Alligator mississippiensis: one gene and its partners. The protein of the gene in region 2 purifies or fractionates together with the protein of the main gene of each other region. This does not show direct contact. Links are inferred from orthologs where the notes say so. Each region holds a gene or a part of one and is shown on either strand. Other genes may lie near its edges.

Region 1 (8,433 bases), on a different chromosome or scaffold from region 2:
ATCTGGTATAAGAATAGTTCAGAATCCTTGCTCTACATCATGTTGGTTTCCAACAACTCCTAAGGACTCATGGTCTATATGAGAGAGAGAGAGGCCGACACAGAGCTGTATCAAGGGTCTTCAAAATTAAAGCCAACTAGTCTTTCTACCTTCCTTGGCTGCTACTTAGATCACTAGGTGCACAAGAGAAACTGACAAGACTTTCACATCACTGCAAGAGACAGGAACTAGAAACAGTGAGGACTAGGATTAAAAACACAGACCAAGGAAAGATGTATTAGTGGAGACTACCATCTTCGCAGCAGCCAATGTACTCTGAATGAGAAGGGAAAGAAAAGAGAATTGGACCTCTTTGCAAGCATCTAGAGAGGGATGTGCAGATTTCAAGTAGGAAGCAGTTAGATACTCACTAGCTGAAAGCTACAGAACACTGTATTGAAACCACCCTGGAAGGAAATATTTTTAGCAAGACCCAACAGAAATTGGGGCTCTACTGTGCTAGGCACTATATATGAACATCCCAAAAGATGGAGTCCGTGTCCTGAAGAGCTCACAAACTAAAACAGCGCTCGCAATGGAGGTGCCCTGATCAATCGGTCCATATTGTAAGTCGGCACCGATAAAAAGGAAACTGACATTACTAGATTTCTTTTGGCTACATGGCCAATAATGTAGCTGATAAATGCCTGCGTGCATGTGCACAGCCGCAGCGTGCATGCAGCCACGAGTGCAGCCCAGCAGCTTGGAGACAAGCGTCTAGCCCGCCTGTGGGGGGGAAGGGGCATGAGAGAGGCAGATCAAGCCCCCACAGCGAGGGAGGAAGCGGGGCAGGGGCTGCACAACTGGGGTGGGGCGAGGTGTGGGCTGGAGCCACGGCTCGTCCAGAAGGCGTGTGGGGGGCAGGGAGGGGGGGGATGGTTTCCACCACTGCATGCAACCTTGGAAGAGGCATGAGCCCCCCAGATCTGTGTGCAGAGCGAGGGCAGGCTGCTGCATGCTCAGGGCCGGGGATCCACTGGGCTCTTCCCAGTGGGAAGTGGGAGGCTGAGCCTGGGCTGCGCACAGGGTGGGCAGCAGCAGTGCTGGGAGGAGGACTATGGGATGGGCTACAGTCACCCTTTGCCATAGCCCCCCTCCCAGCACAGCTGCCATCCACCCTGTCCCTGCCTACCCTGAGCACAGCCCAGGCCCTATCCCCCACTCCCCCCATGCTCCCCCAGGGGTGCACACAGTGACGGAAGCTGTTCCCCCTGCACCGCCTGGATGAGCCGCGGCTCTGTCCCATGCCCTGCCCCACCACGGCTGTGCAGTGCCTGCTCCTGCCCAGCCCCACTCCCTCCGTCACCAAGGGGGACCTTGATCTCCCCTCCCCCCCAACAGACTTACCAGCCAGACGGTGCTCTCCAAGCTGCTAGGCTGCATCTTGGCAATTGGACTGGTATTGGCTGATATGGCTCGTTAATAAATCAGCCATCGGTATTGTTAGATCCCGGCTCCATGCGGCTCCCAACGACTAGGGAGACAACTATCCAATTGCTCATGGATCCAGCTGCTCATTAGCCAGAACAAGCAGGCAGCAAACACCAGCACATATTGCTCGCAACAGCTTTATTCAAAATGCAGACAGCTTCGGGCAAGCTTCCAAAGAAACTGGGGAGCAGCAGTGAACATACGTTTTTTTCCATATTTATACACTTTGGTTTATACTTATTAATATTTACTCCACCTTTGTCCCTCCCATCTCAAGCTCTGCCTTTGTTTACCATTTACTTCATTAGCATGGAATTGTCTATGCATTTCACTTATTTACATGTCTTTTTGCTATGAACACACGACTAAGACCTTGACTCCACTTCTTTCGGTCACTGGGCTGACTTCAGCCAAAACCTGGAAGCTTCTTTACCAATCACCATTCACCTTTTCACATATGTTTATTTCAGATTCTGTTACCAATGATATGTCATCTTTCACATTTCAGTCTGTTTTTCAGTCCCATATTGTACCATCTTTACATTACCTCATTCGCAACACACAGACTTACTTGCTGCTTTTTCAGAAGAATGGTTCACACAGTTAAGATGGTTAATTCACATAAGCAAATGGATGGCTTAGCATAAGCATTCATAAGCAAAATCTGCTCTATCTCCTAATGACAGCCGGTGGCTTGCATCCTGTTTCTTTTATATAAAGGAGTTACATATCCTACAACACTACTATATGGTCAGAAAACTACTTGCTTAAGCATCTCACAATGTTACTTTTAATACACCATTCTGCCTTGTGGTCAGCAGCTTTTGTAAGCCACAGATTAAAGCCTTTATTCAGCTGCAAATCCAGTACTCCCCAAGATCCAAATACAGTCACCCCAACAGGTAGCAGCCCCCAAAAAATCTTTATCTATGCACTCCTAGCTCACAGACATTGGAAAAACCAGCAGACAGACACAAAATGTTCTCTCTGGTAATATCAGCATCACATCAAAGTTAAAACACAATACAAATGGCAAAGGAGGATGGGGGTAACTTTACTCAGTAGAGAACTACCCCTGAAAGAAGACGTAGTAAACCTGACAGGTTTATGTGGTGCCTGTCCCCACTGCTAGAGACAAATAAGCTACTGCCTGCTCCACCAGCTCCAACCTTCTCCAAGTGCAGCAGAGGCCACCTGCAAACCCAGGATGGATAACTTCGTCTCTGTTCCTGATCCCAGTGAAATTTAAACAAGAGCACAAACTGCTATACATGTCCGTACCCAAGAAGTGGAAGGGGCCCATACAAGTTCCCACAACTGACCAGCCATCCACCTAGGAAGGAAAATGGCTCTGCTCTGGTTTCTGCTCCCTGCTGTGTCCTAAATTCAATCTGCTACTCTCTCTGTTGTCTTGCAGATCCAATCTGCTGCTCTGCTTCCTTCTCCCTGCCCTGTTTCATGTCCGATCTGCTGCTCTGCTTTCTGCTCCATGCACTCAAGTCCAACCATCTGCTTTACGTTCTGCTCCTTGCCTTGTGTCCCATGTCTGATGTGATGCTCTGCTTTCTGCTCTATGCCTTGTCCCGTGTCCGATCGGCTACTCTGCTTTCTACTCCCGCCCCGTGTCACACCTCCAACCTGCCCCTCTTTCTCTTCCCTGCCCTATCTCCCAGGTCCAGTCTGCTGCTCTGTTGTTTCCCCTTCACTAGCTCATGTCCGATCAGCTCGTTTCTGCCCCGCTCCCTGCCCCGTGTCCCACGTCCGATCCGCTGCTCCCCCTGCCCGGCCGGTTTGGACCGTTCGCGGCAGGCGGCGGCGAACGTGGGGCAGCCCCGCCCCTTTTAGCATCGGCTCCGCCCCGCGCGCGCCACCGGCAGCGGGACCTGAAGCCCCAGGGGCCCAGCGCGACCCCCCGAGCCGGGCGCGACCCCGTGCGGAAGGGGAGCGGCTGCTGCCCCTCCTGGCCCCGCCGCTACCTCCAGCTCCTGCGTCTCGCACTGCTCCAGCAGCTTCCTGAAGCTGAAGGCGTTTTCCGCCATCACCGCCACTGGCATCTTCCTGCCCGGGCAGGCGCCACAGCCGCCCGCCGCTTCCGGCCCAGAGCTCGCGTCACTTCCTCCCACACCACTGGCGAGGAGTGGGAACCGTGTCGCAGAGCCGCTCTTGCCACCCCTCGGCTGCTTAGGAGGACTCGAGACTTGGAGGGAGGAACGCTCCGGGAGGGGGCGGGACCGCACTGCGAGCCAATGGCGCAGCTGCCAGCCCCGCCCCGCCTCGCCCCGCTCCTCTGGCTGCTCACCTGGGTCGACGGAAGCTGTGGGGAGATTCCAGCGGGGCTGGCGGGCGCTTCTCGTCTGCCTGGCTGACTTTATTTGGGAAGGTCAAGTAGAACACGTATCTATCTATCTATCTATCTATCTATCACAAACTTTGGTGACTAACCAAAGCAGTACATAGAGCGCCCCTCTCCACCCCGCCCCCAAATGCACGTACGGTACAAGTCTTGCTGACCTGAATCCAGCTGCAAAGGACAAAAGAGACAGAAATGATTCAAAACGAAATCGCCAAATTTGACGAAAGGAGGCTAGATTAAAACTGAGGCTCCACAGCTGTAGGTAGATTGTCAGTGGAGTCCGTCAGACATCACAGAGCTTTGCTGCCATATTAAAATGTTCCAAGATTCACTAAAACCAGTGTGAAGTTTGTATTTCAGCCTTGGAAACAGAAAACATTATTTTCTTATATCCCACAGAAAAAACTACAATAAACGTGTATAGCATGAGCTTTGGTGACTAATTACACCCATAGACACAGACACGTGTATCCCCCTTCCAGCTTTGGTGAGTCAAAGCTCGTTTCATCAGATACTTTCAGTAGCACGTGCCTACTGGGCTTTCTTTTTTTTCTGATGGCAACACACACACACACACACACACACACACACACACACACACACACACACACACACACACACACACACACACACACACTTTGGTCAGTCTATAAGGTGGAAATCCACCCTTCCTTTTAATTGACTTCAGACTAATGTGGCTAACTAAAGGTGCGTCTGTGTGTTCATAAATGCATTTTAGGCCACGCTTATTAAATCTAGTATCTCTGGCCATTTTTACACATGCTGTGGGATCGGGGAGAGGGAGAGGGGAGCGCTTTCATTAGAGTAGCTTCCAGAGCCACTCTAATTAAAGAGCCCAGAACTTCTCATTGATCAGAGTCCCTGCGCTCCAAAATGGTGGTGGGGGTCCTTTAAAGCTGGTTCAATGAGCTTGAAGTTTTGAAGTGCAGGGACGCTGACACATGAGAGGTGGAGGCTGGCTGGAGCAGACTCGATTAATCAAGTCTGCTCCAATGCACTGTAATTACAGCATGGCAAAACAGCCTCCCAGTTTAGGTACAGGCACCCTCCATTGTGAGGTACTAGAAAACCGTACATTAGACTATTTTAATGTGTATTAGTTAAAGAGCACTTTTTATGACACTTTAATGCACATTAAAATAAGCTAATGTGCATTAAAGTGCACATATAGACATGCATTACATCTCTCAGCAAATGCTGTGTCACTACTGATCAGGGCTCTTCTAGCATCTCTATAGCAGCAAACCTGTAACATTGGAGGCTATTGCTTATATGCAGAATGCTACTAACGTGACTCCACGCTGTGCAAGAACTTGATCAGGCTGCTGTGTAGGAAAAGACTGACCAGAAGAAGGTAGAAGCCATACTTCACTGCTGCTCTCTGTGCTGGAAGTGTGCTCACAGCTCCCCTGTGCTAGGATTTTTGCTTTCCTCCTTCATATCCCTCCTAAAATCTTTCAACACGTCTAACTTCCGCTTCTGCTCTACTGCCAGTGTGATTCATCACCTAAACTATAAGCATGAGGCCTAGTACTGAAAGGCAAAGAGTATTTGCAAACAGTTTCCACATTAGATGTCGATCCACATCTGCTTCGGCAACACAACACGAAACATTGTCCACCTCACCACCACCATCAGCTACAATTGCCAACCACTCAGGGTGGCACCACCTACCCGCTCCTTTCAACCCTGTACATTTCTGATATCATATCAGCTATATAGTAAAAAAAAATCATATATATAAATGATCATTACTTTGTAACATGGGGGGAAGGAAAAGGGAGATGATTCACAAGGCTTGTCGACGGGATCACCATGAGGTTGCCTACTGGGAGACCAGCTGGAGCCTAAGCGGGTGCAAAAGGCAGGGTTTTGGGGTGACTGTGTCCTGCAGTGGGGTGGGGGGCTTAGCATGAGACTCCCAGTGGGAGGTAGAGGGCTGAGGACTGTGCAGGGAGCCCAGTTTACTGGCACAAACAGGCGCCTCCTGCTGTAACTCATTAGAAAAGACATTACTAGTAGGGCTGTGCGAAATTTCGCCGGCAGTTTCATTTTGACAGTTTCGACTAGTTTTGAGCTCAAAACAGCAACATCGAAATGAAAAAGAGAGCTTCAAAACAGCCTCAAAACAAAACAAGACAAGTCAAAACGTTTCAAAATTTTCAAAACGTTTTGAGTTTCGAAGCTCAAGCTGGGCTTGCCTGCAGGGAAACAGAAACTAAAGTAAGGGGAGGGAGAGGGTAGAGAGGGGAAGGAGCGCTCTCATTATTGACTGTGTAGCTGGCCAGTGAATGTCATCCTTTCCTGAGGTCCCTTCCAATCCCAGTGCTCTGGGGAGGGATAGAAAAACTGCAAAGAAGGCAGCATTGTTTGAACTGCCCTGTTTTCTGCCTTGGTGTCAGTCGAGTGAGGGCGCAGCTTAACACACATACACAGTGTCACCCATGCATGTCACGAGTTTTGCCTGTCAGCAGCTAGGGGTGCAGGGCCCCAGAACCCAGAAGTCCCTGAACTTATCTCCTTGAAAGCTGGCAGGCTTCATGACCTCGTCAGGGTCTAGCATGCCTGCAGTTTTCAGCCTGCTGCGCCTTAACACACACAGTGTCACCCATGTCACAAGTTTTGCTTGTCTGCAGCTTGAGGTGCGGTTTCCCATAAACCCCTGCATCTATCTCCTTGAAGCTTGGCAGGCTTCATGCCCTTAGAAGGGGCTACCATTCCTGCAAGTTTCATCCAAATCAGGCTAGAAATGACAAAGTTATAGGCTGTTTTAACCTTCCCCATTATAGCCTATGGGCAAAACTTCGAAACAGCGTCAAAACAGCAAAACCGTTTACACAAAACGAAACAGCAGTTTTGAATTGAAGTGAAATTCGAAAGGAAACGCTGTTCCGTTGAAACATCAAAACACAAGTCGAAACAGAACAGTGGTGTTTCACACAGCCCTAATTACTAGAGGTAGATTGGTATTTGTCTCCCCTTACTGGAATTTGCGGCAATGGGACTTAAGTCATTTGAAAGCCCATGGCGTGCAAACACAAACATGATGCACCAAAATAACTCAGGTTAAAATTTTTAAGGCCTGGTAAATTAATGAGGATCAAACGCTGCACTGTGTACAAATGCCCTAAGTCTTTAAATCCCAGTCCTGCTAAGACATAAAGCACATATGAAACTGTTTGCAACACCAGAGCCTGTGACTGTCCTGAAAAAGTTACAGCGACAACACCTCATACATCTGAAGCTCCTCATGTTTTGCTTCATCACAGCCCTTCTAGAAGGTTAGTTATGCTGGAGGATTAAGTATATTTCTATCCATCAGTCACTGCTTTTGTTTAATGGGAAAGTTGGAGTTGTGTTGGAATTTCTTTATAAATTCTATTTTATTGCCACCCTCTCTTTCTCCCAGGTGGTGGCACTGCTGTACTGTCTCTTATCCTCTGCCCTATTCACATGCTACTCCATGGTATTTCTAAGCAAATGCTGACCTGGCTTTCACATTCCTCATCTCTAGTTTCCAACTTGATCTGTCTTGCTCTTTGTTTTCCTCAGCTCAGTACAGTGGGTGCTTCCCATAAAGAAGCTGCTTTGAAATTCAAATATATCAAAACATGTTTTTCCTCACCTCAGTAGCATTTCCAAACACCCACTATTTTTAGAGAAGGATATGGTCCTTCTGATCCAGTTAAGGGGAGTCATCGATATCAGTGGGGTTTGTATCAGGCCTTCAGTCACCACCTTATGCTTTAATAAGGTCACAGCCTGTCCTATTTTGTCTCAGTTCAGGAAAGCACTTGCCTGCTTGGATACACTTGACTTTGTATGCTTACATGCTTTCCTGAATTGGTGGCTCAGGCAGCTGACAGTATTTTACCAATACTGATTAGGAGTTCTAAGCTGGTGTAAATGAGCATACCTTGATTTCCATGCAGGTCAAAGTTGAGGTCTCTGTGTAGGAAATAGATGTACAGTGAGTGACTTGGACACAGCAGCAGCCTGCATTCATTCCCATAGCTGCTTTTGGCTAGGACAGTCTGTTCTAAGGTAAGGGTGGGCAATTATTTGGGCTGGAGAGCTACATAAGGAGTTTTCGTGAGCTGTTTATTGTAGGCTGACAGAGGGAGGGTAGGTGCTGACTCAGTCTGGTGCAGTTGGGGTGAGGAATTGATCCTATTCAGGTCCAGGTCCATTTTTCCCACACCCACTGCCAGGGGCACCAGATGAGGCCATGGACAGGGTGCACTCTGCCTAGTACTGGGGGCAGGGAGCTGTGCATGGGAGTGGGATGGACAGGCGGGACCAGGATCACAGGGCCATGACAGCACAGGGCTAGGTCTGGGGTAGAACTGTGATCTGCTTTCCACATGTCCCTGCAACAAGTGCCGGTTCCATGGGCAGGGACATGCAGGTAGTGGATTGTGGCTCTGCCCTGGGCCCTGGCCCTGTTCTGTCACTGCCACACGATCCCAGCCCTGCCTGCCCATCCCGGTACCGGACGCTGCTCCTCACCCACCTGCTGCCCCATCCCTTCCGCCCAGCTAAGCGTACCCTGCCTGCTGGGGTCTCAGGCTGGTCTCCATGGAGACTCT
Region 2 (8,063 bases):
CCCCACAAACATACTAAGCAGAACATTTACCTCTAGTTTCCACAGCTTGTATTACTGCATACTCTAGAGGCTTTATTCATACACCAGAGAAACTGGGGCAAATGAAGCATAGGTAAAGCAGAAAAGCACTTGCCAGCACTATTGTATTGCTCAGGGTACCACCCAATAGATATTAAAGGAGCTGTTCTTCTTCAATCATTTCTGAGTTCCTAGAATGGATGTCTTGCAAACATTCTAGAAAAATAAATATCTCTGGAGATCCCATAAGCAAAATATAGCTTAAGAGTGACAGCCCTGAATGTATAGAGACACAGAGTCCTTAATGCAAGTCTACAAAGGTTCCTGGGACTGATCACTGAATATCAACACAAAAGAATTAGCCCTTGTTTCTCTGGACAGGACCTTAAAGAATAGCGGCAGAAAAATGTAGCACCTGGCTAGAACTGGCACCCAGCTCTATGAAACAGCTTACTGTTGGCTGCAGCATGATATCCAGGTGGAAAGGCTGGTGTAAATAGCATGGTGTGTATTACTAACCTGTCAGTTATGAAACAGTGTGAGGAATTAACATGAAAAAAAAACTATTACCAGGATTGCCTGCCTACAAGGAAGCAAAAATTCAGCCATTCAAAAATTTCACAAAGCTAAATCTATGTAAACTTCCTTGAGCCCCATTTTATAGTGATGAGCTGTGACTTTCAAGAAAATGCTATATGTGCAAGCTCACTGCAGTCTCTAAACAGATTACTGGGGGAAAAATATTTATATTATCCACCCCTCATGTAGAAACATAAGCCAATCCCAATGCTCCTGTCTGAACAAGTTGTTGGCTCCTTGATATCTTCCTATGCCAGCTATCTGAAGATTTGGCTGATAGTTTGTTCAAATTAGGCCTTGTGGGCAAAAAAGAAAATGAGAGCCCAAGGGAGATATACCTGTATTCTCTGGGGGTTTCATAGCTTTTCTCACAAACAGTCTCTTTGCTTGTGGCTCATTCTCTAGTTCTCCAGATTCTCGTTTCCTTTTCTCAGCTGACTTTGCCTCTTCCTCTGGCTGATGCTCATGAGCCTTCATGTGCTTCTTTTCCTTCGGCTGGTTGGCAGGGACCATTCTGTCTGAGCAGAAAAAGCAAACAAAGTAAGGAAGCTGTAATTGTCACTGCTTATGGCTAAAAAAGAGAACTGCAGTGTAATGTGCCCTGATTATGAGGCTATGCTTGTGCTACCCTTCATCACTGCAGCGCTGGCTTTTTGCATCCAATGATGTGAGGAGGAAACACGGTTCAATAAACTGCACTTTGTGCCTCTGTGAAAATGTGTGGCTCTTAAAGCACTGGGTTATCTGTTCTAGCAAATCTGTTTTTACAAAATAACCGAGTTTAAAATTTACTAATCCGGACGAAGCACATTTGTGCAACTTTAAAATGCAACACTAGTCTTTGCAGAAGCCCTTGTTACTTCATGATATCTCTGGTCAGGCTCAGCTAGGGAAAAGGCCAAGTGCTTTTGTGGCTTAATTAGAACACGGCCTCATCAAGCACTGTCATTGAAAAATAGCTTCTGAACACATGCAATCAACTCTCCTGGACTCTTAGATCATGCTTCTAGATGCTGTAGTGACACAGCAAATACTGGAAGACTTCATGCTTTTCTGGATCATTTACAAAGAGATGTTGGGACAGAATTAATTTGACCCCACGTTGTAACGCTCTGAACTAGGTTTTCAAAGTGATCCTTTCCGTCCAAAGTGGAGAGCCTCCTACTCAGCCTTCCTCCTTGGTCTAGTATAGGAGCGTACGAAGCAGAAAACGTCAGCAGCAAATCTCAAGTACCCTCCATGGAAACTAGCTGATACTGTAACAGGCTGTTTTATTTTTAATTTGTGAATGAATGTCACCAACAACTCTCTAGCGCCAAATGGCGTTAGGTGGGCAACAAGCAAGCTTCCTCATATAGCATCCCCGAACTGGCTTGGCGCACCCTCTACCTTTCCCAGACAGGGCTTGACGTAGCTCTGGCAGCACCCAGCCTATCCAGCACGCCTGCACAGCCTTGCTGCCGTCTGCCCATCCTCACCCGCAGCTGGGGTGGCCGTCACAGAGGACGTTCCGGCTTTCTGCTACTCTGTCCACTATTGATACGGAACCGGACGCCTTCATGCCCTCTCTTTTTCTCTTCAAGAGAAAAAACAGAGGACATAAAGGCATCTGGTTTTGTACCAACAGAGAACACAGGATAACCAGACTGTCCTCTATGATGGCCACCCCTACCCACAGCCCTGGAGGCTATTCCAGTGCCGGCATCTGAGGGCCAGTCTGGTTGGCACCAAATCAACTCCAGGGAAGGGATGGCCCAGCCCCACCTGCCCATACGCTTCCCAGCGCCAGCGCCTCGAAACCTTTGAGGCCCCCTTGAAAAGTGCCAGCTCTTGGCTTTCACTTGCTTTTTTGGAGGCCGGAAGCATGACAGAGCTGCGGGCCCCAGGGGCGTCTCTGGGCTTATGGGGTGCACGGCGCTGGCGCAGCCTGGAAAGGGACCCCTGGCACCCCGGGGCGCTGCCCGAGGACCGCACGGGAGGCAGTGACGGCGCCCCAGCTACGCCGCATCCACCTGCCCCGGGCCCTGGCGCCCCGGGCGGGGGGCCGCGACCAGCCAGAGCCCCGGCACCACCCTCCCCGCGGCCCTCACCTGGGCTCCCGCGGCCTCCGCTCCCCGCCCGCCCGGCTGCAGCGCGCCCTCCCCGCCTCCCCGCCCGGCCTCGCTCTAGCCGCGGGCCGGGGCTGCCGCGTGAGGCTGCGCAGGAAACAGGCCCCGACGCGCCGGGCTACGCCTCCGCCTGCTGCAGCGCCGCCCTCTGCGAAGGGCCTCCTGGCTCCCCTGCACGGCCCAGGGCCCGTCCTTCCTCGTCACGGAGAAGCCGGGCTGGAAGGGGCCTCCAGGTCGTCTCGTCCAGCCCCCCGTGCCTGAGGCAGGCTCAGCCCTATCCCAACTGTACATCCAAACCTCTACCTAAGACTGTCATGCACGAGCCAGCTCTGCGGCCACTGCTTTGGGCTCACGTGAGCAAGGATTCATTTAAGCAGCCAAGCTGGAAGCCCAGGGGGGGTTACGCCAGCCCTCTCGCCTCAGCAGGGAGCGCAGTGCCCAACATCTGTGTGACTCTTGGCAGGACTGTGAAGATGGACCATGACCAGGCATGGGAAGGCTCTGGCTCTTGCTGAAGACAAGAAGTCGTCCCTTAAAAAGTGAAGTCTTAACTCTGCAGCGTCACTGAGGCAGCTGCGCTGACAAGCACCCCCGTGGCAGCTGTGTTAGGGAGAGAAATCAAAGAGAAAGTAGCAAGGTTTTGTCCCTGCCACAATAATGCTTACCTGGACAGCCCCAAATCTCGACAGGAAAAGGAGGCCAGCAAAGCAGCCTGTTATCAAACATGTTTTCTAAGCTGGTGGTTCTCAACCCTGATAGCCTCAAGGCATCTCTTGGCAAATACCAGTGGCCATTTTTCCCTTGTTTTTTATAACTACAGAAAAATAAGAGAGAGAGAGCTGTTCTGCCATTGAAAAGAACTAACAAAGACCACACCTGGGCAGAATGATTTTAACACTTCGGATTCCTAGTTGAAATCTCTGGGTTTATTTTGTGGATCGTGTTTGCATATCTAACAGTACTAACGTTGTGTGGTGCCCCGTGGCACCCTTGAAAGGATCTAAGGCACCCCAGGATACGTGGCACCCTGACTGAGAATCACTGTCCTAGGCCTATATGTGAAGACCAGTTTGGTCACACACAGAAGTTTACAGAAAGCTTCTGACATATCATTTGATAACAATTTATCAGGTTCTTAAATGTAGGTTTCCTAGACAACCTTGTTTATCGGTTTTATTTTTTGTTTGAGTGATAAACGGGTGCATAGGATATAATTTTGTGATGTCGGTATGGGCTTCAGTTAGTGTTCCCACACAGAGCTATCTGACCCTCACAAGACTACTTTCTAGGGTTGTTTTCAAAAACAGTCTCTGCTTGTAGTCTAAGCCAGTGATTTTCAACCTTTTAAGTAGCAAGTATCCCCTGACTGCTGAAAATTTTAATGAGTACCCCAACACTCAATTTTCCCAGGGATTTTATATTTGCAGACTAACGTGTTGGAAGAAGGGCTGTGTATATAAGGCCATGATATGACAGATGTCTGATCTGGTGTGGGTAGGGTTGCCACCTTTTACACCAGGGGTGCACAACTCAAGTATGTACCTGGGCTAGAGGTGATGTTGGCCAAAGCTAGGAAGGCTGAACCCAGTGCCGCACAAAGCATGGCATGCCAAATTATTATTGGGGAGTTTATTCCAATTTTTTTTATTCCAATTTTTTTGCCATAGTTTTGAGAGCAGGAAGGGGCAAGAGAGAGAGGAAGATGGGGAGAGAAAGAAAGAGAGAGAGAGAGAGAGGAAAAGAAGGTGAGAAAGAGATAGTGTTGGGGTACCTGCATACCCCTTGCCTGTGTCTTGTGTACTGCCAGGGGTATGTGTACCACAAGTTGAGAAACTATGGTCTAAGCCAGGCAGAAGTAGGGAGGGAAGGAGTAAGGTATATTAATTCAGAGTCAACTGCCACACTACTACAAGGGAACCATGTTTATCCAGACCTGTTAAGCCTGTTGATTTGTGAAGTTTGTGTCACCTAAACCTAAACAACAACAACACTAATAATAGATGTCTGGTGAGGTCCAAAAAGGGCTTTATAGTAACCAAGAACTGTACTACATAAATTGAAAAATGTTAGAAACATCCACAAGAAGTTGCAGCTGCATATTAGAGATCAAGGAAAAACATGCATTTAGAATGTAGCTAAAGCAAATTCAAGAAATACAAGATGCAGTCTAGCTCAAATTCAAGTTGCAAGATCACTTCAGAGACCATTAGGATTCTCTGGTCTCTGAACTGATAACTGGTACTTTACAACATGCAGCAATGGAGGATAAAACAGACCTAAGCTATCACTACTTTGCACTGCACCTTGGTGGGTCCTTAACATGCTACTCCTATAACCATTCAGAATAGTCATCCCTACCACCAGCTTATACATACAAATCCTACGATATCTGTGTGTGCAGTTCTCAAAAGATACTATTGCTGCAATGGACACCTATGTATAGATAAAAATATTTTTCTTCCTACTGGAATATAATAATGTTGCATCAGTCACTTACACCCTATATGACAAACATAACATATTGGATATAGCAACTTATTAGGTGGGGAAAAACTATACCCACCCATGGAAAACACTTAGCTCCCACTACATTATTGTATATGTCAGCCTCTGCACATAATTTTCAATCATCTTCTGCAAAAAAAAAACCCAAAACACAGCATCCTTTTCAGTGCTGAATCAATTCATAATCATTCAAACTAGCATCTGTCATCAGGATACAAGACTCATGAAATCCCGAGGACCTGTTAAACTAGATCCCTCAGGAACCTAACGGGGGGAAAAGACTTCTTACTGTATACAGGAAAGGGAAGTGTGTTCAGCAGTATTCACAGTTTCCTAGAGACTACAAAGGAAAGAGGAACCTGTAAAGTTAAATAATAGATAGCAAAAAGTACTGATTATATTACTTCCATCTTAACCTCTACTGTTTTCCTCAGAATTAAAAAAATATAGATTCTTACCTTTCCACTGAAAAGGTAGGGATGAGATGGAAAAATTCCCATTGACTTCAATGGAATATGAAACAGTCCCAAAGTAAAGAACAAACTGTGATCCTGTTGTGCTAACTTTGCAGAAAGTTGTTTCCAGCTAAGATGTGAAACTCCCTTTTCCTATCCTGCTCACCTTCCTGAGGTGTTAACCGGAAAGTGGCCCAGAAGAGATTAGGCACAGTAACCTATGGACTTTCCACCTAACTAGAGTGGAAGTGATTAATTAATCTTTAAACAAACATGAGGGGCTTTTTTTTAAATCAAACACTAACACTGTCCTGATTTTCCCTTTGGAAACTCAACAGGTACCTTGGCAATTACCATTCTTACATAATTTGTTAAGAGCCAACTGTGCTGGATGTTGTGCAAGTCACAGAAAGAAACAGACCTGAAAGATAAAAGCTTTTGAGAAACCCTTATGCAGTCAGAAGACAACAGGAAAGAATAATTTTAATATAATAATGTTATTACTTGTATTACTGGGTCCCAGTGATGGTATAAATTCAAACAAGTCACAGGCCCAGTAGCAATCACAATTTTAGACATGTCTAACACTTCATTCTGCTTGGACAGGGTTAAAGTATCTGGAACATGACTGAAGCCCTTTCTGTACTTTGAGGGTAGCAATATTATAAGGGAGGGTCCTGATTTGGTGGTATATGTAGAGGTAATTGGGCCTTTTGCTTCACAGTGCCTGGATCTTTGCTAATGGAAGGTTTTGCTTTCTTGGACTATATTAGTTTGTACTTATTCTTGTAATTTTAAAGAGTGTAACATCTGAGCAACTTGATTCTCACCAGGACATGGAAGCAATTAAGAATTCCAACAAACCAAAAACATTAGGGAAAAAAACTGCGTAACCCTAGCAAAACTGAACCTCCTCCTATCCCAAGATCTTTCCCATCAAGCTGCCCCTGCCCTGAGAGAAAGAAGGTAACATTATCTACTTATCTCCTTCTTTACCTGGACACTCTGTCCTTTATGAGCCACACCTTCCTCCCAGAGGAAAGGAAAGACACATTAGAGAGAACATAGCATGACATCAGTGACTCAGAGACAGAAACAGGAGACTAAACCTCACACATGGTATGAAACTTTGTCTTGGGCAGTTGCTGGATACACAATATCTGCCTCTGACTGCTGAGATTTTTCCTTTTTCACACTTCGAATTGTTAATTGAACTAATGTATTGAAAGTGACATGAACTATGGTGGAGCATCACATTATGTTACAGAGGTCTACTAGTTTCTTTCCTCTTGCCTTCATTACAATATGAACACACTGATTAGTCTTTCCTCTCACTCATCTGCTTATGTTTTCTGGAGTAAGGCTTCAGATCTCAGAAGGGCATTGGGTGCTTCATCACTTTTGCTCCCCAGGAACTGGAAGCAATTAAAAAACAAATGGTCCCAGAATACACTCTGAATAACCAGGCCCAACAGTCATGGAGTGGATTTGTCAGTGCTACGAGTGATCTTTCCTTCCTGCCTGCCTTCTGTGGGGGTTTCAATCTTCCCTTTCTACTTTGATTGAATAAATGTCATTGTGAGTCCATAACTGATCCTGGTGTTTGATCCTCTAATAATTTAGAAGCAAGTGACAGGAAAATGGCCCAGCATGGACCTTTCACTCCCTTAACTTCATGCTGAATCATGGCCAAACTCTGGTTTAGAAATGGAAACTTTGGTGGGAAGACACAGCGGGCAGGTCTACACTTGTGCTTTAATTAATAGATTCAGAAGGGACCACAAAGGATCATCATGTCTGACCCCCTGCCCCTGGCAGGAAAGAGGACCAAGGTCAGATGACCCCAGCCAGGTGTCTATCAAGCCTCCTCTTGAAGACCTACAAGTTAGGTGATAGTACCACCTCTCTTGGAAGCCCATTCCAGATTCTGGCCACCCTTACTGTAAAAAATGTCTTCCTAATGTCCAACCTGAATCTTCTCTTCACTAGTTTGCATTCATTATTCCTAGTTACTCCTAGGGGTGCTCTGGTAAATTGTGCATCTTCAATTCCCCATTGTCCTCTGTTGATAAACTTATAGGCAGCTACAAGGTTCCTAGTTCCAAGGTTCCCTCAGATGTCTCTTGTGGAGGCTGAAGAGATCCAGATCCCACAACCGCCCCTCATAGGGTCTTTCACGAAGGCCACTAATCATGCGAGGGGCCTTCCTCTGAACCCTCTCCAGATTCTCTGTGTCCCTCTTGAAGTGCGGTGCCCAAAACTGGACACAGTACTCCAACTGTGGCCTGACCAGTACCGCATAGAAGGGGAGCATCACCTCCCTTGATCTGATACATCTGCTAATGCACGACAAGGTGCGATTGGCCTTGTTACACTGCCGACTCATATTCATCTTGGA
Region 3 (7,836 bases), on a different chromosome or scaffold from region 2:
ACCCTGCATAAAGATGGACGGGTTCCACTGAAAGCAGCCAGAATCAGTTAAACTATCCCAAAGAATGTCTGATAGTTGATAAGGCCATGTTGAAAGATTCGTACCTTCCACATCCTCCCATTCATCCTCACTTTCATCATCATTGCTGCCATCATTGTTTTCATCCATCTCTTTTTTAACAGTGGATTCTCTCTTCAAACTCTTCCCGTTCCCAGAGGGGCTTGGTAAACCACTATAAAGGTTGCACAAAAAAAAACTTCAAAGTTGTGGGTTATATCATCTTGTTTGTTTAAAATGTGGAGGGAGGACAATGTCTGTACTAATTAGAGGAACACATGTAATATGACAACGTTATCAATAACAACAGCTGCAAAAGCTTAGAATATACTTAAAACCTAAACCACAAATACCAGCATGGACACAATCTTTGCAAGCAATACATGGATGATAAACACAAAATATTTCACTGGCATTTTTAAGTCTGTTTATGTTGCATTATAAAATGCCTCCAATTTAAAAAAAAAACTATAATTTGGGGGGTCTTAAGTCCTTAACAACTTCCTTCTGAAATTAAAATACACATTAAGCTTGGAAAAGCCTCAAACGCTTTCCACCCCCATTCAGTTCCATACACTTGATCCCATGAACATGCACACAAGTAATTTGGCTCATATGTGAAGCTATGATGAACAGAATGGTACCAAACAGCAGAAGTAAATTTCTCCTATATGAGGTTTGTTGAACTGGGTGTTAAGTAAACATGTTTAGCAATGGACATGTAATAGTTGTATTGATGCAGTCAGTTAACTTACCTGCACATTTCCTCCTCTTTAGGATTTCCTTCATTTTTTATAGCTTTGTTATTTTTCCCCTTTCCTCTTGACTTTGATTCTTTTTGGCTTGTAGCTCTAGTTGCTGGACTGTAAACTCTAGTGTCACCATCTTCTTTCTTCTTCTTCTTTCCACTGAGGGCCTTTGAGACACTCCTCTTCAAAATAGGCTTTTCCTCTTCAAAGTCATCTAAATTGGAACAGAGGGAAAGAAGTGTTATGGAGCAAAATCCTGGCTCTCTTGAAATCAACCATAAAACACCTACTGACGTCAATGGGGCCGAGTTTCTATGGAGCAAAAAATGCAGGCTAAGAGCGAACAAACTGCCTTTAAGGATATCCTTAAAACAAATGGGTAGCATTAAATCAAAAAGCACGTGTGAAATAAAATTATAAGGAAAGTTCAGCTCAGAAGACAAAAGATTTATTCCTGGGTCTTTTCCAATGATGACAAAAAAAAAGCAAATATTCTTGCTTCAGTACTGCATATTGAAGCATCTACTGCATAAAAAAAAATCTCTAGGCAAGTGGAATTTTTGCAAGTTTGATTTAAATAACCCCTTTTCTCAAGAGTCTCCTGAAGCAACAGCAAGCTGCTTTCTTAACCTGCTGCGTCTATGTACTACTATGATGAATTGGATAGATCTTACACGTATGAAATCGATCTGGTTTCATGCAACATAGCAGGCTTACCTACCTTTCAGATTATGGCCTAATGTAGTTGAGATAAAGTTAGACAAGTTTTCACATGTAAGATATTTTTCTCAGGTCTTACATGTGAAAGCTTGCTTATTTTCATCCCAACTCCATAGTTGGTCCAATCAAAGATCTCACCCTATGAAATCCTTGCCTCTTGCATTATTTCTGGATCATCATAGTTACAACATCACTCTTACACTACCATAGAGGGAGAGAGCATTCACTTAGATAGCTCTAGAGCAATCTACACCCCGCTGGCATTCAATATCCCCCCTGGTATCCACGGGCAAATCTAGGATTTTGAAAAGAAGGGTGCAGATGGTGTAGAACATCATATCATAGGATCACAGAAAATTAGGGTTGGAAGGGACCTCAGGAGGTTATCTAGTCCAGTGGTTCTCAACCTTTTTTTGTACAAAGACCCATTTGTAAACATTGATGGCCAGTCCCGACCCAGTGCCCCTCACTCCTGACCGACTGCTTTCTGCCGCCAGCTCCCCAGTGTGTGGGGCAGGAGTGATACATGTGGGGCATATGTGTGGGGCGTGGGGCATGGGGCATAGGGCATATGTGTGGGGCATGGGGGGCTCCAAGCAGCCCGCTGCAGGCGGGAACTCTGACAACCTGCAAGAGAAAAGCCACCGTTTCCCACATTTTATTCCTTTAAAGGAGAATCCATTTTGTTGATCCATTTTTAAAGTTTGTTCAAGACCCTCTCTCATATTCTTGCTACCCACTTTTGGGTCACAACCCATATAGGTAGAGAAACACTGAGCTAGTCCAACCTCCTGCTCACAACAGGACCATCCCCAACTAGATCGTCCCAGTCAGGGCTTTGTCTAGACAGGTGATCTGCCGAGGTCCCTTCCAGCCCTAACGTCCATGAAATCTATGAAAAAATCTCCAAGGATAGAAATTGAAACTAAAACTACACCACTATCCTTCTACTTCTTTTCCTTCCATTATAACAAGGCAGGTTGTTCATTCATTTGTTGCTTCCACCGTTTTACAGACAGATATAACCAAAGTATAATACAAGTAACTGTAATTTGAATCAATAATACAATGAGCAAAGGGCTGTAATAATGTAAATCCTTGGATGAAGATCCGATGGGTCAGGTTATCCCACCGGTTGTCTGCAGTACTTTCTTGGATGCTAGCACTCAGTTCCTGGAGCTGTTTGTTTTTTTGATCCATGAGCATCCCCACAACTTTCCCTTCTTCTTTTAGGAGAGACCAGTCTTTCTCTATTTACCAATTTCTTCCAGCTCCTTCCACAGCCAAATGTGCAAGTTAAGGCCACCCACACGAAAGCGCTGTACTACGGCTTCTGGGTCAATCTGTTGTGCAACGATCCCAGCGCTCGCCCCTAGGAGCCCAGGGCAGGGGGTCGGACTTCGTGATCCGTTCAGATCCCTTCAGACCCTAGAAACTAGGAAACGCTTTATATTTGATGCCTGGGATCCAGGACCTCACCCGTCTGTGTGGAAACGTTACGGCACCACGCTCCCTCTTCACGACCGCTCCGGGTAACCTGTGCCGGTGCTTTTCTACCCTCCTTGCGAAAGCTTTTCCTAATATCCTACCTAAACTTCCCTAAATGCAACTCACATTTTTTTTCCCCCTCCGGTCAAAAAAGAAACTTGACGCTTTATTAATATGCTAAGGGGGGGGGGGGGGCACTATACTATTAGAGCAAAAAACAACTATAACTATTGGAGTGCGCGTGAGTTTTCTAGAGCATATATAAAACTTAAAAAAAAACCCAAAATAGTCAAAGGGTATCGTATCGTCAGTGCTGAGGTCATCAAGAGTGAAAGGCATGTCTGTCACTCAGTTATATAACAAGATCCAGCCGTGTCGGGCTCTGGTGCTTTGCTGTCAGTCATTTCCACACCCGAGTTAACGTCTCACCGCCCCGGCACCGAGCCCGGCTTCACGGTCCGCGATCCCGGGGCCTCCAGCCGGGCCGCCGCCGCCGCACTCACCGTCCGACCCGCGCGGGGGCTTAGGCCTCTTGCTGGCGGCCTCCCGCGCCGGGACCCCGCGGCGCTTTCTCCCCATGCCGCAGCGCCGGCTCCCAGCCCCGCCCACCTGACGTCCCTTCCGGCCCCAGCACCCCGCCCCCCTCCCGTGAGACACCCGCCCCCTTGAGGTGAGCGGTGCCCATTTCACAGCTGCGAACACTGAGGGCTCGCGGGGAGACAGGCCACGCCCTCTCCCCTCGCGCGACGCGTGACGTCATCACGCCCCCAGCCCCGCGGGATGTGGAAGGCGGGTTCGTGGGATCTCGCGAGAGTTCGTTTGAAAGATGGCGGACGAGGTGGACCAGGTGAGGCGCTTTCCCCGAGCCGGCTCGTGTCATCCGTGTCTCGGCCGCGCTGGCGAGGCCTGAGCGCTGGGACGCTAGTGCTGGTGGGGCGGGCGCAGGCTGCCAGGCCCTCGGGGGATTATGCCCCGTTTGCTCAAGTTGCCGCTTCTGGTGGACGCTGGCTTGATCGGGGTGTCTGTGACACAACAGCAGTGTCCTCGCCCTGTCTCTGCCTGCGAGCCCCGGGGATTAGCACACGCAACGTCCAGGGGGTTTCATGCTTGTAATAGGAACCGCCTCGTTTTTTTCTCAGCAACAGACAACCAATACCGTAGAGGAGCCGCTGGATCTCATCAGGCTCAGTCTAGATGAGCGAATCTACGTGAAAATGAGGAACGATCGAGAGCTCAGAGGGAGATTACATGTAAGCGAAGATCACAGAATCGTAAATAAGGGTTGGAAGGGAGCTCAGGAGGTCGCATCTAGTCCAACCCCTGCTCAAAGCAGGACCAGCCTCAGCTAGATCACCCCCGCCAAGGCTTTGTCTAGTCAGGTCTTAAAAACCTCCAAGGCTGGAGCTTCCACAACTCTTGGTGATCTGTTCCTGTGCTTTACTACCCTCCTAGTGAGGGACTTTTTCCTAATATCCAACCTAAATCTCCCTTGCTGCAACTTGAAACCGTCGGGCATTTTTACCCATGCATGTGCCACAGCGCCGGGCGCTTTGAAAAGCACGTGATGCTGCAATGCATGCGGTTGGGTAAGTGGTGAAGTGCGCGTCAGAGCGTGGAAAATGGCGGTGGTCCACTTTTGAACTAAAACACATCAAAGGTGTTTTCATTCAAATGCACGCCGCTGCCATTTCCTCCGTGCTGGTGTGCATTTTGCCATTTATACAACTGCAGATGACGCAGTGCGGTGTGCATCAGCTCGTGTGCAGAGCAGACTCAGTTAATTAAGTCGATTAATCTGCTCTGATGCACTGGATCTGTGGTGCGTGGCAGCATGAAAAAGTATGTGTATAAATGCCCGTTGTTTCTTGTTCTGTCATGTGTCACCACTGAGAACAGTCCAGCTCCATCCTCTGCAGTCCCACCCTTCAGGGAATTGAATGCTGCTATTAAGTCCCCTCTCAGTCTTCTCTTCTCTAGACTAAATAAGCCCAGTTCCCTCAGCCTTTCCTTATAAATCATGCTCTCCGGCCCCCTGTCCATTTTGTTGCCCTCCACTGGACTCTCCGATTTGGCCGTATCCTTTCTGTATTGGGGGCCCAAAACTGAACACAGTACTCCACATGTGGCCTTACCAGTGCTGAATACAGGGGAATAATCACTTCCCTTGATGTGCTGGCAGTGCTCCCACTAATGTTAGCATTCTTTTCAACAAGGGTACGCTGTTGGCTCATATTCAGCCTATTGTCTGCTATAACCCACAGGTCCTTTTTTGCAGAGCTGCTGCTTGTCCAGTCAGCCCCTAGCCTGTCCTGGTGCATAGGATTATTCCATTCTAAGTGCAGGGTTTTGCACTTGTCTTTATTGAACTTCATGAGATTTACTTTGGTCCAATCCTCCAATTTGTCAAGGTCTCTCTGAATCCTAGCCCTACCCTCCGGCATATCTACTACTCCCCGCAGCTTGAGTATGCAGATGACACCAGCTCCATCCCATTATCCAGATCTGTGGAAATACTTGGGATCAGAGGTCAGTTGGGCTGCAAGGAACCTCTTGAGGTTGTCTAGTCCAGCCCCTGCTCAGGGTAGGATTGCCCCTGACTAAACCATCCCAGCCAAGTGCCTTTCCGACTTTCTCTCAAAAACTTCCAAGGACAGAGATTCCACAGCTTCTCTAGGTAGCCTGTTCCAATGCTTGACCACCCTCATAATCGGAAGGTTCCTCCTAATCTCCAACCTAAATTTCCCTTGCCGTAGTTTGAAGTCATTGCACCTAGTCTCTTTCCCCTATAGTTACAGAGAAACCCCATCTCCATCATTTCTATAGTCATGACTTGGGTATTTGAAGGCTGTTATCAAATTCCCCTTGGTCTTCTATTCTGCAGGCTGGTGAAGGCTGGTTCAGTAGGTAGTATTAGAGACAGATGATGCCTTCATTTCTGTTGTAATGGTGAACTTGTCTGTAGTGCTGCATGCAGGTTACCATAAACTAAATTATGATCTTAATTTAGGGGTCGGCGTCTTTTGACATGCATGTTGTAAGTGGCATACGCTGCATCTATGAGGCACAGGAGATCAGGGAGGCAAAAGAGAACACGGTGGCAGATAGGGCAGAAAGTAGAGCAGGCAGAAGAAGGGAATTAGAGTGACGGACTGGGAGGGTGCAGGGCTTACCATTTGGGTTGGTCTAATAAAAGATATCAAATTCACCCAAGGAACCTTGTGGGCTTACCATGTGACACTTCAGCCAAAAAGTTGGCTTCCCACTGATTTAAAGTTGTATGGCAATTTTTGCACCTGGCACGCAGCACAATCATATCTTGTGATTAGAAACATCTGAAAGGTGGCATATTTCCCCCCTTTGCAAAAGAACTTACTCCTGCTTTCCATACCAGATGTTCTAACAATGTGATAATTCAGAGCAGTGATTGTCAACCAGGATAGCACAGTTCCTCAGGCTGCCATGAGATTTTTTTCAGGGAGTGCTGTAAACAAGTGATCCAGTAAAACTGCCCTGCATGTAGTGCACATCCTTCCTGCGTTAGGGTTCTCTAATAACTGTAAAGGAGACAGCAGGGTCAGCTTGTGCTGTAGCCCATCCCAGTTAACCCCAACCTCAATCCCCTGACATGCCAAAAATCAGAGGCATGCATGACAGCTCCACTGTCCCACCTGACTCTTCCTGGGAGATATTGTGCAGTGGCAGACCTAGAATGGCTGCAGCACAATCCAATAGGGCTGCGCAAAGTTTTGGGTACTGATTTGATTCAGAGGAGATTTGGCCCAATTCGGTAGCCAAATCTCCGAATCCAAATCAAATCGGGACCAATTAAAAGGTCCAAATCTATTCGAAGCTCTCTGAATCAATTCAGAAAAGATTCAGAGAGGTTCGGTGATTCAGGCAGTCCGCACCCCCTGCAGCAGGTATCTGGACCTGGACTCCATGCTGGTAAGTAGGGGCTGGGGGAGTGGGGGCTGGACAAGATGGGGGGACCCATAGGGGGACCCCTGCCAGGCCTCATCCCCTGCCTGCTCCCCCCAGCCCCATCTCCCAGTGCTTTTAAAAAAAAGCCCCTACTTGCTGGGTGCTGTTCAGCAGGGGGGCAATCCCTCCTGCCCCCCACTGCCCCATGCTGCATGGGGGGGTTCTGCCACGAGCCCTCCTGTTTCCCCCCCCCCCCCCCAAGCTGCTCTACCCACCCCAGTTCTGGCCCTTTAAGAAAAAAATCAAAAAAATAAACCCCCAGACTCACCATCTCCTGCAGCAAGCTTGCGCAGAGCCGTCCGTCCCCCCCCCCCCCCAGCACAGGGCAGTGCGGGGCAGGGGGATCTCACTCCACTGGGAAGCACCTGGTGAGTCCAGGGTTTTATTGTTTGGGTTTTTTTTCTTCAAGGGCCAGGAGCTGGTCCATGTGGGGAGGTTGAGGGGCTTGTGACAGAGCCCCTCGTGCAGTGGGGGGCAGTGGGGATCCCCCCACCCAGCAGCACACAGTGAGTCGGGGCTTCATTTTTTTTTTTTTTTCCAAAGTGCTGGGAGCTGGGGTGGGCAGGGCAGCCATTAAGAGCAGGCGGGGGTTGGGGCCTGTGTGATTTGGAGATTTGGCAGCAGCCGAGTCTCCAAATCAGATTCAGGACAGTGATTCGAATCGCTGTCCCCCAAGTTAGACGAATCTGAAGTGAATACTAGCCGCTTCGCACAGGCCTACAAGCCAGCTCTTCTGTCTGCTTTAGGATTATTTGAGAACACCAGTGTAGAAGGTGTGTGCACGCATGCCACAGCCTTTCTTGGTCTGGCTGTGCAGCAGGTGCACAGGGAAGTTATCTTT

The links. The genes of interacting proteins can lie anywhere in the genome.
Region 1: the proteins of DDB2 (region 2) and COPS8 purify together in Homo sapiens (affinity purification with mass spectrometry; 6 studies listed by BioGRID and IntAct, counting the BioPlex papers as one, with this or other methods). This does not show direct contact. The link is inferred for Alligator mississippiensis from reciprocal best matches to the Homo sapiens genes DDB2 and COPS8.
Region 3: the proteins of DDB2 (region 2) and XPC purify together in Homo sapiens (affinity purification with western blotting; 5 studies listed by BioGRID and IntAct, with this or other methods). This does not show direct contact. The link is inferred for Alligator mississippiensis from reciprocal best matches to the Homo sapiens genes DDB2 and XPC.

What each region holds. Positions count from the first base shown.
Region 1 is NC_081827.1:186,157,320-186,165,752, reverse strand, and holds the start of COPS8 (COP9 signalosome complex subunit 8), read right to left. Parts: upstream 3,627-8,433; 5' UTR 3,525-3,626; coding exon 3,447-3,524; intron 1-3,446. UniProt on the Homo sapiens protein: Component of the COP9 signalosome complex (CSN), a complex involved in various cellular and developmental processes.
Region 2 is NC_081825.1:227,870,085-227,878,147, reverse strand, and holds the start of DDB2 (DNA damage-binding protein 2), read right to left. Parts: upstream 3,549-8,063; 5' UTR 3,432-3,548; coding exon 3,371-3,431; intron 3,083-3,370; exon of another isoform or gene 3,022-3,082; coding exon of another isoform or gene 3,009-3,021; intron 2,793-3,008; exon of another isoform or gene 2,688-2,792; intron 1,116-2,687; coding exon 936-1,115; intron 1-935.
Region 3 is NC_081835.1:16,881,346-16,889,181, reverse strand, and holds the start of XPC (DNA repair protein complementing XP-C cells), read right to left. Parts: upstream 3,627-7,836; 5' UTR 3,594-3,626; coding exon 3,518-3,593; intron 3,089-3,517; exon of another isoform or gene 3,006-3,088; intron 2,917-3,005; exon of another isoform or gene 2,785-2,916; intron 1,021-2,784; coding exon 813-1,020; intron 233-812; coding exon 105-232; intron 1-104. Other genes in the region: U6 snRNA-associated Sm-like protein LSm3, read left to right, coding at 3,841-3,861, 4,154-4,264. UniProt on the Homo sapiens protein: Involved in global genome nucleotide excision repair (GG-NER) by acting as damage sensing and DNA-binding factor component of the XPC complex. Has only a low DNA repair activity by itself which is stimulated by RAD23B and RAD23A.